Drosophila melanogaster: one gene and its partners. The protein of the gene in region 1 interacts with the protein of each later gene in a pairwise test. Each region holds a gene or a part of one and is shown in the gene's direction. Other genes may lie near its edges. The genes, in order: bic, CG42329, Sbp2 and CG10510.

Region 1 (4,039 bases):
CAACGAGCCGTTTGGTCTAAAAGTTCGAGGTATACTGCATGCATGTATTTAGCTGTGGCATGTGGATACAATTGTCAGTCGTTCTTATCTATAAAAATGAATCAATTCCTTATCGAAGCGCTACTGAGGATGAGTCATTTTAAACAATTTAAATTATATTGTTGTTATACTAAAATTGCTAACATTATAGCAATTATTATATTATGGATAAAAACTGGTAAAATCCTGGCCAGAAAGGGACAACAGACTATTCACTTGTTTCAGATAAGATACGGCCATATAAATAAACATACATAAATAGACAATTACTTTGGCCCTTGCTGATAAAGTAAGTTCCGCTTATTGCTGAGCATACTTAATGTTGTTTACGAATCGGTGGAGAGGCAAAAGAAAAAAACCAAACAAGCCAAAAGCTCTCTCCCATTATTCAGATCTGTCTCTCTCTCTCTATAAATATGTATATCGACTAAATATAATTGTTATTATCACTTCTTAACACGAATAGGATTTTATATACTCTTACACACACTCGCTCACTCATAAAACTCATCTTTTGAGCTAAACTCCGGCTGCTTTGTCTTTCTGAATGACTCATCGGGGAGTTTTTATTTGATTAATGGCTTATAGGCTAATACTTCTACATATATTTTATACAGTTACTCACTGGACAGAACGGCACCTTGGCGTCTGCTGGTGCAGCAATATCCGCAGCAACTCATGATGAGGAAGGTGAGCAGAAAGAACATGAAAATGCCCCAGAAATCCATGGCGAAATCGTCTATATCGTCCAACTCAAAGTCGTCCACTGCGGAAGAAGTTAATGTGTTTAAAAGCTCGTTTCATAGTCGATAAGACGTCGTGAAATACTTACGTTTGACAAGGATTTAGCGGTTATTTCCCTTTGTTAATATCTGTATTTAAAGTCGAAAATTCCACTTGTTGCAGGGAATGCACTGCCTATTTATCGGATTTATCCGCTTTTTGGCAGCACCCGTATAATTCACTTAAATATCAGTGAACTACTCTACCGGAAGGTCGTTATTGAAGCCCGATTGGAATTAACTATATCTTATCAGCGTTAATCTGAAAGTAATACAATTTATCATGATGATAATGGGTGCACGTTATGCAGCACTGACTGCGCTGGCTATGTTTAGTGAGCAGTCGATGTAAAGCGGCGATAGCTAGCGCACTCAACACAGCAATCGATAATTCAAACATAACATCTGATTTAATTGTGTTTAAAACTTTATTGCAAGGTATATAATGGCTCATAATTTTATTTATTTGCGTTCCAAATATTTACTAAATTGAGTTTGTTATACTAAGCTTGTATATTTTGTATAGATATTTTTTAAAACATTACAATTTATCATAATGATGACGTTATGCAGCACTGACTGCTGAGTTTAGTGAGTAGTCGATGCAAGCCAACGATAGCTATCGAACTCAACAAAGCAATCGATACTATTGGAATAGAAAATATAAGAATTAATTAATTCAAACATTACATCTGGTTTAATTGTGTTTAAAACTTTATTGCTGGGTTTATGATGGCTCATAATTATGTTTATTAACATTCCAAATGTTTAGTAAATTGGTTTTTTTTCTTACCACGTTTATTTTTAATTTTATATAGCAAATTTTTAAACATATTTACTTATATATGTGGTTGAAAGCGATGAAAATAAAGTAAATCGATTAAATTGAGATTTATGCCCTGAGTAGATTTACTTTCCCACCATATACTACTAAAAATTTGAATATATTCAAAACTAAAAATTCATTCAAAATTCAGAAAACGTATTACTTCAAAAATAATGTATAAATTATATAAACAATAGAATTTTTAAATTTCTTTGGCGCGCTTTGGTTGCCACCTTGTGAGCTATCGATAGTCAACACTCACGTTTAGTACTTCCTACCAGTACTACTCACATATACATACACCTTTTGCCATTTTTATCATGGCGATTTCTTTTTGACATTTGACTACGACTGGGCGCACGTGTTTTCTGGCAAGGCTCTGTGCTAAATTCTAGTAAAATCAAAGTGAGTAGTGGAAAGTGCGGCATTCGATTGGCGTTTTACTGATGCGACCATTGTGTGTACTCAATTGAACAGATGAACGCGGAAAAGCTGAAGAAGTTGCAGGCGCAGGTGCGCATTGGCGGCAAGGGCACCCCTCGCCGCAAGAAGAAGATCGTCCACTCCACGCCCGCCACCGACGACAAGAAGCTGCAGTCGTCGCTCAAGAAGCTGTCGGTAAACACAATTCCCGGCATCGAGGAGGTGAACATCATCAAGAACGATGGCACCGTCATCCACTTCAACAATCCGAAGGCCCAGGCCTCGCTGCCGACGAACACGTTTGCCATCACGGGTCATGGCGAGAACAAGACGATCACCGAGATGGTGCCCGGCATTCTGACGCAACTGGGTCCCCAGGACATCAACCAGCTGAAGAAGCTGGCCACGGAGATTGCCAGCAAGAGCGGCGCCGGCGGAGCAGCCGGCTCTTCAGCCGCCGATGCCGGTGACGATGATGTGCCCGATCTGGTCGAGAACTTCGAGGAGGTGGCCATCGCCGACACAAAGGAGGAGAAGTCCGGTGAGGTGGCGGCCTCCGCTTAGGCTGGTCCAACCCCGCCCACCCGGGCAAATCACACCACCACACACCGAACACAAAAACATACATACAAAACATACGGGGCCAGGGAGCAAGACGAAGTGGCTGGCATACAGGGCAGAACCCACACACCAGACACGCCGGAAACACATCTACCACTTACCCATTCCGGTTCCAAATCGGAAACGGATCCACTCCGGACTGCAACCAGCGCTTCTGCCCTGAATGGGCCATTCTTCGTGCTCCCTCCAGCCACTTTTTTGGGGGTCATGCTACACACTATACTAAAATACAAAAATAAAGGCATCCGAGTGAGCGCTGAACAGAACACATAAGCATAATAACTATACTTAACATACTAAGGGAACCCTTCAATCTTAATCTAATTGTACTAGTTTGGAACAGTCAAATGTATTTTCCAAAGCGATTAAAGAACGTTTCCTTAACCAAAAAAAACCACAGTCTAAACAACACACACATTCTAATTTTTGCCGCCCTCCCAAGAACAACACACACAGATGTATCTATAGATATATGCGCTGTCATAAAACACTATATACTATATATATACGATACGGTTTTCGGAAGAATTGTGACGAGGTGATTAGGGGAACAACGCAGACACTCCAGATGAATTCATTGCCAGGTCGCGAGGACAGAGAAATATATTTTTAGCACTACTAGCTCTTACCGATTTTCCCCAATTTCCGACTTTTCGATGTAACCCCGCCCTCAAGGAATCCTCAATTGAAAACGAAAACAAGCTGAGGCCACAATTTCGATTCGAGAACAATGTGCCCAAATTGTTGAAAGCATAGCTTATAATTTGTAAACTATTGTTTTAGACCATCATTACCATGCATAACATTAAATGAGCTGTAAAAACCATACGACCCATTCATATTTCCAGCATTTTTTTTTTAGTTTAATGCCTATTTTTTTCTTTGCTTGCATAATCGACATGTGTGTGAGTGTGGGCCTGTGTGTGTATGCATAGCAACGCTCTTGTGTGAGGTTTTCGAGGTGATGGGAAAGGGGTAGTGGGAGGTGTGGCGCAAAGCACGCGGCAGTCGAAAACTTGTTGACATTTGGTATGGTACGTCTAAAATCCAGATGGTCAGAAGGCTCCTTCGGCAGGAACTATGACCCGTACGCAACTTCCAAATTATGTGTCCAAATCCAAAGTTGGGAGTCGTAGCATGCGGTACATGCACATATGTATATATATAAATATGTATATGGTTTTTGGTCGGAAATCTTCGAAATGAGTCACGTTTAAATTGGCTTAAAATTGCGATTAGGCCAGTTCAACCGGAATGTTTCTTGAAGTTTCCACTCATTTGTACATAAACAAGCGATTGCGGCTTCTTATCACATTTCGACGACCTATAACGGATTAAGGTTAATGCA
Region 2 (4,672 bases), on another chromosome or scaffold:
TTGGAAAACAGTTTTGCGGCTTAGCTCCGTAACTTTGCCAACTGAAGTTGCCTTAATTACACGTGCTGATAGGGAAATTTAATTAAATTTTTAATGTTCTGATAATCCAGTTCAAGTGATTGGGAAAGCGATTCGAAAGTTTGTGTGAGCGAACGGAATTAGGTTACAAATTGTATTTAAATCCGAAAGACAAGGTAAATAAACTGTGAGATGTAGAAAACCATTTAGTTTGGGGTAGTATATGTTTCTCTGGATGAAAAACACCTAATTAATTTCACACGAACACGGTCCACCCTAATCTTTATTCACACACCACTCAAAATTCACGTATGTTTCGGCATGAGTAAAGCTCTCCCAGTCAACTTTTTAAATAATTACACATCTGTATGTATGTGTAGCTCACACGGAACTCATTGAGTAAACGGGTGTATTGTAGTTATAGTAATGTTTGTAAACACTTATCAAGAGCCACTTGTAATAATCTCAGAAAGCAACAAAAAAGTGATTATTTTCTACTGTTTGTATTTGATGAGTAATGGAACCAATGCAGAGTTGATGATTTCACAAAATTTGATCAACTAACTGGTTCGTTGGCTCAGATAATAATTGTAAACAAAAATGTGTGGTTACAAGTTGCCATACAATAACACACTTTATATTAAAATATTTATAATCACCAATAGGTATCATTTATTCCATACTCTGCGTGAAACATATTTTTGGCAAAATGCGTGACAAGAGCATTCGGAGATCCAGCGGAGAAAGTATTTCGCCCCACTCTCGATTTTTTTGTCTTATTTGTTTATTCACGCCTGGGAATACCCACACTTTTTTGACTGACTAGCAATACATTAAGTTTTGAATCGCATATTGATTAATGCGACTATTATTGCGCAATAGTAACGACGCCAGATGGACCGAGCTGCCTTAGCTCGGTAGTATCGCCCTTTCCAAGGGCAGCGGGTTCAATAACCCAGCCATGAACCGCCGAACTATTACAAGTGGGCAAATCTACTGGCCAAGGTGAGCCACTTCAAATCACTCAACCGATTTAGCGAGCTAGTGACGAATTTATTGAGACTATCAGTAGTGGCCCAGTATCGCCGGTGGATCTGTTCGCCAGAAGTCACTATCGGTCGCTGACCCATTTGTGAAATATAAAACAAACTGACGTAATTGTTGCCCGAGTTTTAACCCGTCGATGGGCCAGGTGTTTCCCCGGGGATACACTCTACTGATTGCGTGATGCTGCAGTTATGCCTGACAGTTAATAGTTTTTACTCAGCGTCATCGGCAGCGCAACGGACATCCCCATGTGTGGCATTGAATCTAATTCGGCTGCTATATCGGTCATTGAACCGATTTATAGGCGATCGTCACAATGATCGTTGCTCGCACGCTGCTGAGATATCGCAAAAGTGAGGTGGATAGACCCACCTGCTACCCTGCATAAGGGTGCGAGATAAACCTAATGGCACATGGCCCACGGGTTATCAAAAAGTTCCCACTGCACGACCGAGCGACTAACTACTGCAGTCAAGAGAGCTCCTCAGGTGATTAGAAATATGTGTTAGCCATATCAGACGGCTCGTGGGCCGGAGTAAGACTCTTACTAGCCCGGTATAAATATCACTCGCAGCGTCATGGCCGTCGCACACAGCAATGGTATTCAGGCAACTAAGCAGCGCGAGCTCATCGCTCTTCATCCCGACCAAGATGATCGTGGCCTTGATCGGGATCATGGGGGTGGGAGTACTAACCACTGCCCAGACGTACAGCTCCAAGGACCTGTTGACTTGGATGCAGTCCAGCAACTTCGGCTACCAGGTGCTCCAGCAGGCCTTGAATGACAACCAATCCTCATCTGCTGCCGAGGCATCTTGCCTGGCGGAGGTTCGCCTCCTCCTCACGGGAGCAGAGGCCAAATCCTTGCCTGCTCTTCGAGGTCGGTTGATGGCAACCGATGTGGATATACTTTATATACTGACCTTCCGTGTCCGTGTCTTACAGTTTTCGATGCCTGGGGAAAGTTCCCGCAAGGACTGCTCTACGGCCACTTTATGGACATGGGCAACTACGAATCCTGCCTCAGCTTGGATCTCAGCAAGAGTCTGGGCAATGTCATGACCATCAATGCCGGAGCCAAGTATTGCTTGAGTCGTATGCAGTTCGAGAGTTTGCTCATGGAAGCCGCCGGCGCAGATGCCCTCACCTTGAGTATTGGAACCTGCATACCCTCATCCTGCAGTGCCGCCCAACTCAGTCGATGGATGTCTGGTCATCTGAAGGATATGTTTGGGCAGAATTCGACGGAAGCAACATTGGTGCAGGAAAAGGACTGCTCTTTGGCGCACAGAGATCCCATGAATGGACTGGACTGGCTTGCTGTGTGAGTAAAATCAAGGGGGATATGGGGTATTCCAGGTATAGATCGTATCTCCCAGCCTTTGTTTGCTCATATCTTACGCAATAAGCACTGGAAAGACAGGTTGTGTGCGCTTAGACTTGTTTGGCATGCCAACGAATTTAAGTGCCAGTGTAGTATGTGCATATATCGAGGGTACACTGTACCTATAAGTACACAGCAACACTTAGTTGCATTGCATAAATAAATGTCTCAAGTGAGCGTGATATAAGATCACCCATTTATGCTTTAAGCTAAGTCAGCATCCCCACGCTGGCCGCTGGCCATATATGCGCATAAGCTCTCTCTCTCTCTCTCTTATACATATATATATACGCTGCTCTTCTGCCGCTGTCGACGGCGGCGCAGTCGCAGTATTTAGGTAAGATTAGACACTCTGTAGAGGTTAAGCGGGCAGAACCGTTTCTGCTACTCGAAGAGATAAGAAGAAATAAAAAGGTGGCCTGACGGCTGCACCCAACTGCAAGGAAAACACGTGTTCTCAATTGGTGGCATATATTGGTTTATTACATGGCGACCGTGAGGCAGGAGCCTGCGATCTGAGGACTACTGAGGAAATGCTGCTAATATTGCCGATTTGATTTGGGAATTCTAAACAGCGACAACAGGTGTGAGAGGCAGGCCGCCCCTTACACCAGTGCGGGAGACCTAGAGACGGGACACTGATGAAAAAAAAAGAAACAAAAATACTGAGTGAGTAGAGTGTGGTAATGGGCAAACGCGGATGTCAGGAAATCAAAAATAAAGGTATAGCACATATTAAGTGGCTATGATATACAAATAAAACACCGCCCCCATGGGCAACGGCACAGAAATTAACTGCCGAATTAGACTTTCTGAAAGAAAACCTCCAGCAAAGAAAGCCGAATACCACAACTCACTCAGCAAAAATAGAAATAATCAATGAAGAAATAACTGAAAATTCAACATCACCCAAGCCGAAAAGACCCGACGTCTGCATGAAAGACTGCCCTCGACCATTGTAAGCCGCAACAGCAATTAGCACGGCATCCTGCGAGGGTAGGATTAGGATAAAGGATAAAGGATTCCACCGGCGCGCCGCACATGACAACAGCGAATGTCTACCAAGCAGACGTTCGAACACCCTGCTCCTGTCGAGCAAAGGGATCTGCCAAGTATCAAAGAGGTAATAGAGGTAGATCCGTCCGCGGGACCAAAGCCCTTGACCATACAAGAGTACAAGGCACGGACTGCAGCGAGGGAGCAGCCACCTAAAAAGAAGAGGGGTGGCCGCCGGATTAAGTTGCTCAGCGCCCGGAGGCTCAACATCGAACTACTGAAGACGGCAACTAATGAGGAAGACCGGCAGCGCTACAAAGAGCGCCTTGCAGCCATCAATCAACAACTTCGTGGTGCGAAGTAAAGCGGCGGGCTGCGTTATACGCCATAGCCTCAACCGCCCAAATATTATATTAATGTTGTCGATGCGGTTTCCGCTGCAACAAAATTACTAACTTATCAGGGACCCATTTCATAACTAACACATTATACTCAGTCCTAAACTTAAAATAAGTAATAATATTGTAAAATTGCAAATTGCAACCGATGTAAACTGAGTATAATGAATTCATCTATCAAGTAAAAATATGTTTAACAACAGTTTAGACCTATTAAAATTTCGAGCTATATTTATATCTGATCGAGATAACAATAATTGACCAATTCTCAAAGTTAAAATTCTATTTGTACTTTTGATATACAAATAAAGACTAATTTTCCCCATATCAAAATGGGACATAAGTCGTGGATACAACCCCACAGTTAAATTCAATGTACTTACTATTTTTGATTTTAGTTATCCTATCAGCCTTTTAACCTGGCCTTAAAACTTTATCAGTTTCACAAAAGATCGTTGAAAAGACTTACATGAGTCGAGCCAATGATTTAGACAAAATCTAATAGAAACTACACCAAAAAGGTACAAGTGCGATTACATCGCTAAAAGGTACATACATGGAATGGCTAAACTTAACCATATCCATAAACAGTATTAGAGATGCTTTTGATAAATCCTATAAATGTATTAATAAAACCGCGCTGATCAAAACTCAGACGCTTATTTTTCACATAAAGGTATTGATAACACAATACAACACATTACAAAACCTAATAGTAACAAACAAAAGCAAACTCACTGAAGAACATAAAGTCCAATGCTTCAAAGTTCTCAGTTCATTTGGTAAAAGACTACATAATACCAGCGTTAGACACAGTATTATAATAGAA
Region 3 (3,540 bases), on another chromosome or scaffold:
TCAATTTTTTTTCGTAGCTTTATTTTTAAACAAAGTTCAGGGACAATGTAAACAATCAAATGTGCGGCCGAAATGACTTTTGATTCAACTTCTTTTTTCTTCCACTAAAGTTCTGTTACTCAGCAAGATATGTGCTTATTCAGCCTCGGATATAATCGAATATTTGTTCTGCGCCCTTGTGAATGAGCCAAATGTGTGCATGTACGCTTTTTCCTTTCTGCAAATGGCATGAAAAAGGCTCGGTATTGTTTTGAAATTAAATTCTTCTTAATTTGGAATATTGAATAGTTGGGCCACATGATGGTAGCTACCACCGCATGTCTGAGCAATACAAAGCTTTCTTAGCAGAGTGCTTGCGTTTTCTAGACATATCTTGATTTCATTTTGATTCATACGATTGAATACATTATGATCCTTAGCCAAAAAGAACTCCAGTCTACGAGCGCGTAGATGATCCACCAAATGACTCCACATCTCAACCAATAGGGTGCCCAGGTCTCTTTCCCAGTCAGCACTTTCGAGGCGATGAAGCAAAACTGTTTTCAACATGTAGCTGGACAAGTGAGGCAATTTCCTGGCGTGGGCATCCCGCAATCCTTTCATCAGCCGTAGAACGTTCTTCAAATTATCCTTGCCCTTCATAATTTCGCGCTCCCAATGTGGTGCACAAACCATGAATGTGGTTCTCGGTTTAGCCGACTTCTTCTTCTGTTGCGGAATGGCGAACCATGGCCAATTATTGCTAACATCAGCAGGAACCGGGCAAATATCAAACGGCCATTGGCTTCCAGAGAATTCGAATGCTGGTACCAAATCAAAAGATATCGAGCGACTACCACAAACGGCTAAAATGGTATGGGCACAACCATACCCCTCAAGAGTATAGGTTAATTTGTAGACTCGATTACTGGTAGTGGCAATTGTCTGATTAGACCTGAATACCTTGCGGAATGCATTGCGTAGCCAGTCTTGAAGTACAATACGATGGATGCGTTGGGGATTGATTACGGTGAGATCAGCCTCTAAATAAATAAACCCTTGGTCGATCCGAGTCGGTCGGATATCAAATGGAAACTTTAGTTTCATGTGCAGATCAAATTCATCGGGCAAATTTAGCTTGACGCGATCCAAGTAACTTCCTAAAAGATACGTGTACATATATTTTTAGGTACATAATGTACATACATAACGATGAATTTACGAAAGTACAACATTTCTTGCAAAAATGATAAAACAAAATAAAGCAAGAGATATCAATTGTAATTGTATAGCGTTGGATTATCTCGACTTACATTTGTATTACTTCCGTCAATTTACACTTTTATTAAAAATAATATTGAATGCATTAGAAAATCGACCAGACAATGTCTTGTAACTAACATTATTCTATTTATTTGTTTTGTTTTTATATAGAAATATATGTAGAATATATGTAGAATATATGTAGATATTTAAAATTAAATAACTTACCTCCAAGACTGAGTCCGTCGAATACCTGGCGAAAGGTTTTGTCTACCCGCTTAAGTTCGTCAACTACATAGTTTTGAATTTCCTCGGCTTCCTTGGTATATACGGCCCTTTCATTGTCAGAGATTGACAATTTCTCAAGAATTCTTTGAAAATGATTAGCGGTACTCATTTTTTCACAGAAGCCTAACGTTGAACTTCCAAATCAAAACTTTTAGGAACGAATGAGGCCGCATTTGCTGCGGTTCTTGATTTTATTAATTACGTTGTTGTACCGCGCTGATTCTTCGCATTCATGTGTGGTGAAAAAGCGATTTCACCATTTACCGCGACGACCAACACTATTTTAGAGATGCACTAAGAATCCACAATAAATGACTGAAAAAATAAGGAGGAGCAGGAATCAGGATGTCCAGGATACAGCGATCAAGATTACTCCACGCAGCTCCAAGTACAAAAACCAGCACAGGAAACGGGAGCAGCAAACCTCTCTTCTGGACTTTGTCATCAAGCCGAGACCAAAAACACAAAGGCAAACAAAGGCACATAAACTTCAAAAGACACATTTAGCCATAACAAGAGGTAGCTACATAGTTTACAAACCCAAGGGCAAAACCCGCCTTGATCCCAAGAAGAAGATCACCAGGTTGAAGAAGTCCGTACGTGTATATCGCACTTCAAAGAAGGCGGAGAGAGAAGTCGCAGAGAATGATCTTGAAGGAGTCCCAGTAGTTGGTCAAGATATCAATCCGAATGCTATTCCGCTGGAGCAACAAGTTCAAAACCTATCACTTAGTAAAACCCCTGCACCCAACAACCCTTCACAAGCAAAAACAGTACATGCCATTCACTCACGGCGATTTAGAAGGTTTGATTACACTGGTTGTACCTTCTTTAAACGTTGAAATATCATGTTTGATCTCTTCCAGCTATTGTGACAACTGCACCCGTCCTCGCCTCAAGGAGTTGTCCACTCAGTTGTTAAGGGACCTGGATCGATTTCAGAAGCGCGCCTTTGCCAAAAACGAGATTAAAGCGCGTGCACATCCCCGCCTGGTTTTGGGTGTTCGAGAAGCTCTGGCGAGGCTAAGGATAAACAAGGTGAAATTGTTGTTCCTGGCCACTGACTGCGAAATCTGCCCCGGCGAAAGTGAGTAATCGAATTGTTCGCAAATCAGCCATTAATAATATCCGCTTAAAAAGGTGGTCTAGATGCGACTATAGAAGGCTTGAAATTCCAATGCCAGCAGCAACAAGTGCCCTATTGCTTTCCTCTGCTGAGAAGGGAGCTTTCTTATGCCCTCCAAAAGCGAGCGCAAATTTGTTGCGTTGCTATCCTTGACTTTGACGGAGCGAATGCAACCTACGCAGATCTTCTTAATGAAATAGAGGATGCCCGTGCGGAGTACAAACGCAGAACTGCTTCGTGAGAGTTTATTTCGTGACAAATAAATATAAGTAAAAGTGCCAGGAGGACGTGCTCGAAACATCGAATAAAACATTCAAGAAAACAAAGTTTAGACCGCCGGTGTCATGGTCGTGGTGACGAAATCACGCAGCGTGGAGCTAATATTATCCATATCGGTGGCGGCACCAACCAAGCCGGCGGTGTCATTAAGCGAGTTGAACGTCTGTATAGCCTCTTTGGCCTGCTGGGCGGCCAAATTGAACTGAATCAGGATGATCAGGTAGCTAGTGATCCCGCCACTCACACCATACAATGTTTCCATGTCCAGGGTAAAGAAGCCGCAAGCCGAAAAGTCCACCGAGTGGTTGAGCAATTTTAGCGATAGGTGGTTAACAATTTCGTAGAGAAGATTATCATCGGCCACCACGCCACATTTGTGCAGACTGATTCCTGTGCGCTTGGAGGCCTGCGACGTTTTCCAACTCAGGTAGATGAGGTACACGCATTTTCCAGACGTATAACTTAGAACTATAACAGTGATGAAGGGATTCTTGGCGGAACGGAAAAGCGATGGTATCGATTGGTACTGTGTAGCGCAGTAGAGGAAATAAAGTTGAGCAGTGAAAATCAGAAAACCATAGGCCATTAGAGATAGAATGGGATAG
Region 4 (4,153 bases), on another chromosome or scaffold:
CCAAAAGGCGGACGCACAGTCGTCATTTTCATCGTCGTTTGACAGGCCATCTCTGCTCTGATTTTCGGAATGGAGAGGGTGGATGTCGACGAGGACGTCGTGAGGATGGAAAGCTCGTCTTCGGTTGAGTGGCCTCTTGAATTAACGTATGACAACGTATGTTGCTTAATTGCACATGGCTTTTTAAGCATAAGGGGTTAAGTTATATGTATATATGTATGATAGGCTAAGGAGATGTTAAAGACCCCGCTGGCATCCGACGACGCGGAAGTGACACAATTTATGCCGCTGAAACGAGGCCAATTGGAGTGGCTAAGGAGCACTAAGCTAAGTAGCCCATAGGGAACCACATGGTACCCACACGCTGGGTCTTTAGAGTTCAGTAAAATTGTTTTGCGTATCAGTAATAATAATTTAAATTTAAATTAAAACATTTTCTTCAAACATAAAACATTTTGAAAATTTTATGTTAGAAAGTTCTTTCGATTATAAGCTGAAGAAAAGTTAGCCAATATCCAATCCAAGCTTGTACTTCGTTCCATTGTGTGTTAAATGAATAATTTAAATTAGTACCGAGCTTGCGTCCTAAGAGTTTAAATACCAAAGGTGTTTCAAAACTAAGTTCTGCAAGCCACCGAACTAACGAATAATTTCCTTATCACTATAAGGCCAAACATGGCAAACACCACCTCAACCGGACGCCTACCACCCAATCATTTTAAAGTAAGCGACTTACGCCCCCAAGGCCCCCTACATACACCCACAACCACACACCCAACCATAATCCTTCGCCCACCGAAAGAGCCACCCCAAGCGACGTTGGCACGCAAATTTATCAGTTGCCCCCGTGGCAACCTATCAAATGGAACCCCTATATCCCACAACTGGCCACCACATCTCCCAGTACAGTCCGCATTTCACGACATTGTGGTTAATGGATGCATAAATATTTATGACGTCGGGCTGTGCACATGCAACTCACCAATTTCCAGTTGCTTGATCGTATTTGCAGTCCCAGCCGGGCGGCATTTTCTGATAGCCACCGGATTCGCTCATTTTCACCGCTCACGAATAGATACAGATGCAGATACAGTAACAATTGCACTTGCAGATGCGAGGCGCTTCGATGCCCAGTTAAACCGAACGACCGTCGTTTTATTATTTTCGTTTTCTGCCTGAATGTTTATGGACGTTTAAAGTCGCATTCGCAGCTTGTTTGCCGACTGTCTGCAACCCCGAAAAGTTGGCAGGCAGGAGTGCCCTTGCCACTTATCCTGCGCGGAGCTTTGTAGTTGCCTTTGTCGTCGGATGTTTCAGATTTGGGGGTTGTAACCACCCTCGATGGCAACCTCTCCTCGGCAGCAGAGTTATTTTTGTTTACAAGGCACTGCCTGCCGGGAAAAAGGACCGCAACACACAGATACACACGCTCACACACACACAGTTCGATGTGGCGTGCCGTTAGTAAGCAAGCCAGCCAGGCTTTAGCTACCCGGAAAGGAATCGTTTTTGGGGAATCCTGGAGTCGCGACGCTATAAACAACCTCGCGAGCCAAGCTTTGAGAGTCAACTGAGGAAATCAGTGGCGGGCGTTAAAGCTTCAGATGCTGTGCGAATAGTCGTTAAAAAAGCTGGTATCCAGTGTTGGAATTTGCCCGTCGAAAGCTGTGCGCCAAACTTCGATTCAGCTTTCAAACAGGCACACAATTCGAATTTAGCTCCCCCGTCAATTTTCCAAAAATTTCACCTTTGATTTACGCATTTAGTTCAGCTACAACTACACATCGGCAAAATGGCCGAAATCTTGGCACGCTTGACGCGTGTTTCGGAAAACTACCTCCAAGAACTGGAGGAGGAGCCGGAGCCACAAGGACCGCCCAAACTAACCAAGGCTCAGAAGAAGGCCGCCAAGAAAGAGGCCAAGCGACTGGCTATGATCGAGGAGAAGCGGCTCATCATGCGGGTGGGTTCAACTAACTTTCGCAGAGTTTTTATTAAGGATGAACCTAAGCAAATCCTTAATATTATTAATTTTTATAATAAAAATAATATATTAAGACTATATTAAAATTGTAAACGCATCATTTCTAATGTTGCGCCATGATCCTCTCAGGATGCCCTGATGCGCGAGCTGGAGATGGGCAAGCATATGGAGGAGAAAGGCAACGAGGAGTGGCACGAGATGTGCCGCGAAATCAAGATCAAGGAGCTAAACGAGGAGATGAGGGCTTGGGGCGAGCGCTCGGAACGTAACATTCAGGCCAAGAACGACCACATCAAGATGCTTCTGGACGACATGGCGCAGACGCAGGATCAGCACGTGCGTTGCTACAGCAAAACGGTGGAGCTGATTGATCACATTCGCGACTGCTTCCACGTGATGTTGGGCGGGGTGAAGAGCATGTATGACCAGCAGGCTGACGAGATGCTGAGGGATTACTATGAAGAGGTGCGCCGGCGCACCGAAGAGGTGGAAGCCATGAAAACGAACTCCGAGAACATAATCCATGCCACCAACATCACCACCCGGGATCAGCTGAAGGAGGATTACACTATCTACCTGGAGCAGCGCGACGATCGCGTGAATACGGAGATTGAGAACAGATTTAAGATTCGAGATCAGATTGTCCGCCGGATGACGCACATGCAGCAGCAACTGAACGACTTCGTGGAGTCGCTGAGGAGCACCGAACTGGATGCCCACAAGTACGAGAAGATCCACTGGCTGACGGAGCGGCAGGCGGCTTTCATGGAGGAGTCACGCAAGCTAAACGCCGAGGAGTCCAAGTACATCAACATGCAGGCGGAACTGCAGCGCGAAATGGTTCGCATGGATGCGGAGAACAACTCCACGCTCAACGATCTTCGCCTGGAGTTCCAGTACTTCACCAACGTGCGCAAGAAGATTGAGCTCAACCAGGAGATGGATCGCGAGATCACGCACGAGAAGTTGCGCATCCTGACCGGCGAGTGCTACGAGTTGACCAAGGTGAACCTTTGTCCCAAGCCCTATTACCCATTTCTAAATTGAAATATTATTCCAGCAAATGGAGAAGCACGTGAAAAGTGGGGAATTACTCTTGGCCCTGTCGATCACTTGCAGGAAACTGCAAACCGAATCGGAAAAGGTAATCCTCGGCGGCGAGGTATTCGACGAAACCGAGGTGGATGTCGATGAATACTTCAAGCTGCAGACTCTCAACCTGAAAGATCACGTGGACATGACCGAGGAGGAACTCGTGGAGCTAAACAAAAGTCTCAGGAACTTCTGGCGCCGCCAGGCGATGGCCGAAGCTCAAAACCTGCTGATGCTGGAGGAGAAGCGTCGCCTCACTGAGGACAATCAGCGCCTGATCGACTTTATCAAATCCATGAGTGTCACCGAGGATCCGGAAGAGCTGCGAACCGCCATGCATGTTTCATCGCCAACTCAACCCATGCCACCCAAACTTTTCGAGACAAAGTGCCAGGAATTCAAGTCCAGAAAGGTCGTGCATTCACCGACGGCACACAAGGAGGCCAAGTGGGAGGCCGAAGCCACTTTGAATGAGGTGATTCTGGACTTTTGAAAATATGTGGCATTCAAAGTTATGTTTAAATATAAAAATGAGCTCAATTAAATTGAATAATAGTTAAATTAATATATTTACCTTGTTTGCAATCGCAAGAAAAAATGCTATAAAGACAAATATTTGATTATCGAAGAGTATATTGTTTATTTTAATAGTTTTGAAATTGCTGAACACAGCATGGGTATCTCAAAGTGCCAAAATCAATATATTTTAAAACAGATAGTTTTTGTTTTAAACAGAAATTTAGCTGTACTTCTACTTATGTATATTATTTTGCAAACTGCAAGTCTTTACTCTACTAAATATTGCTAATTCCCTAAAAGAATGCCGAAGCTCATGTTTTTAGTTAATAAGAAAGCTTGCGTAGTTAAAAACTAAATAATAGGAGCAACGACAGACTCTTAGGAGACTAGAAATATGTTTTAAGTGCAACATGGAGATATGTAACTAGCTTTAGTTCAGCACCAGTGCAATCTAATCTAACTGTTGCAAATATCAATATTTCTCTCAGTGTAAAGTGTTACTGTAGTGCTTTGGTCCATCAAAATGCAGAGGCGTCTTCAACATATGGCAATGGGTAT

The links.
Region 2: the proteins of bic (region 1) and CG42329 interact in a two-hybrid assay, tested with the Drosophila melanogaster proteins (one large-scale study listed by BioGRID).
Region 3: the proteins of bic (region 1) and Sbp2 interact in a two-hybrid assay, tested with the Drosophila melanogaster proteins (one large-scale study listed by BioGRID).
Region 4: the proteins of bic (region 1) and CG10510 interact in a two-hybrid assay, tested with the Drosophila melanogaster proteins (one large-scale study listed by BioGRID).

What each region holds. Positions count from the first base shown.
Region 1 is NT_033778.4:12,868,279-12,872,317, forward strand, and holds bic (bicaudal), read left to right. Parts: upstream 1-1,970; 5' UTR 1,971-2,052; exon of another isoform or gene 2,053-2,124; coding exon 2,125-2,634; 3' UTR 2,635-3,516; downstream 3,517-4,039.
Region 2 is NT_033779.5:1,217,647-1,222,318, forward strand, and holds the start of CG42329 (uncharacterized protein), read left to right. Parts: upstream 1-1,646; 5' UTR 1,647-1,716; coding exon 1,717-1,945; intron 1,946-2,010; coding exon 2,011-2,389; intron 2,390-4,672.
Region 3 is NT_037436.4:8,302,352-8,305,891, forward strand, and holds Sbp2 (SECIS-binding protein 2), read left to right. Parts: upstream 1-1,805; 5' UTR 1,806-1,841; coding exon 1,842-2,335; intron 2,336-2,396; coding exon 2,397-2,617; intron 2,618-2,670; coding exon 2,671-2,897; 3' UTR 2,898-2,974; downstream 2,975-3,540. Other genes in the region: CG7194 (uncharacterized protein), read right to left, coding at 268-1,139, 1,471-1,639; Gr66a (gustatory receptor 66a), read right to left, coding at 2,985-3,540.
Region 4 is NT_037436.4:21,207,634-21,211,786, reverse strand, and holds CG10510 (uncharacterized protein), read left to right. Parts: upstream 1-1,702; 5' UTR 1,703-1,792; coding exon 1,793-1,963; intron 1,964-2,113; coding exon 2,114-2,989; intron 2,990-3,044; coding exon 3,045-3,569; 3' UTR 3,570-3,639; downstream 3,640-4,153. Other genes in the region: CG10508 (uncharacterized protein), read right to left, coding at 983-1,056.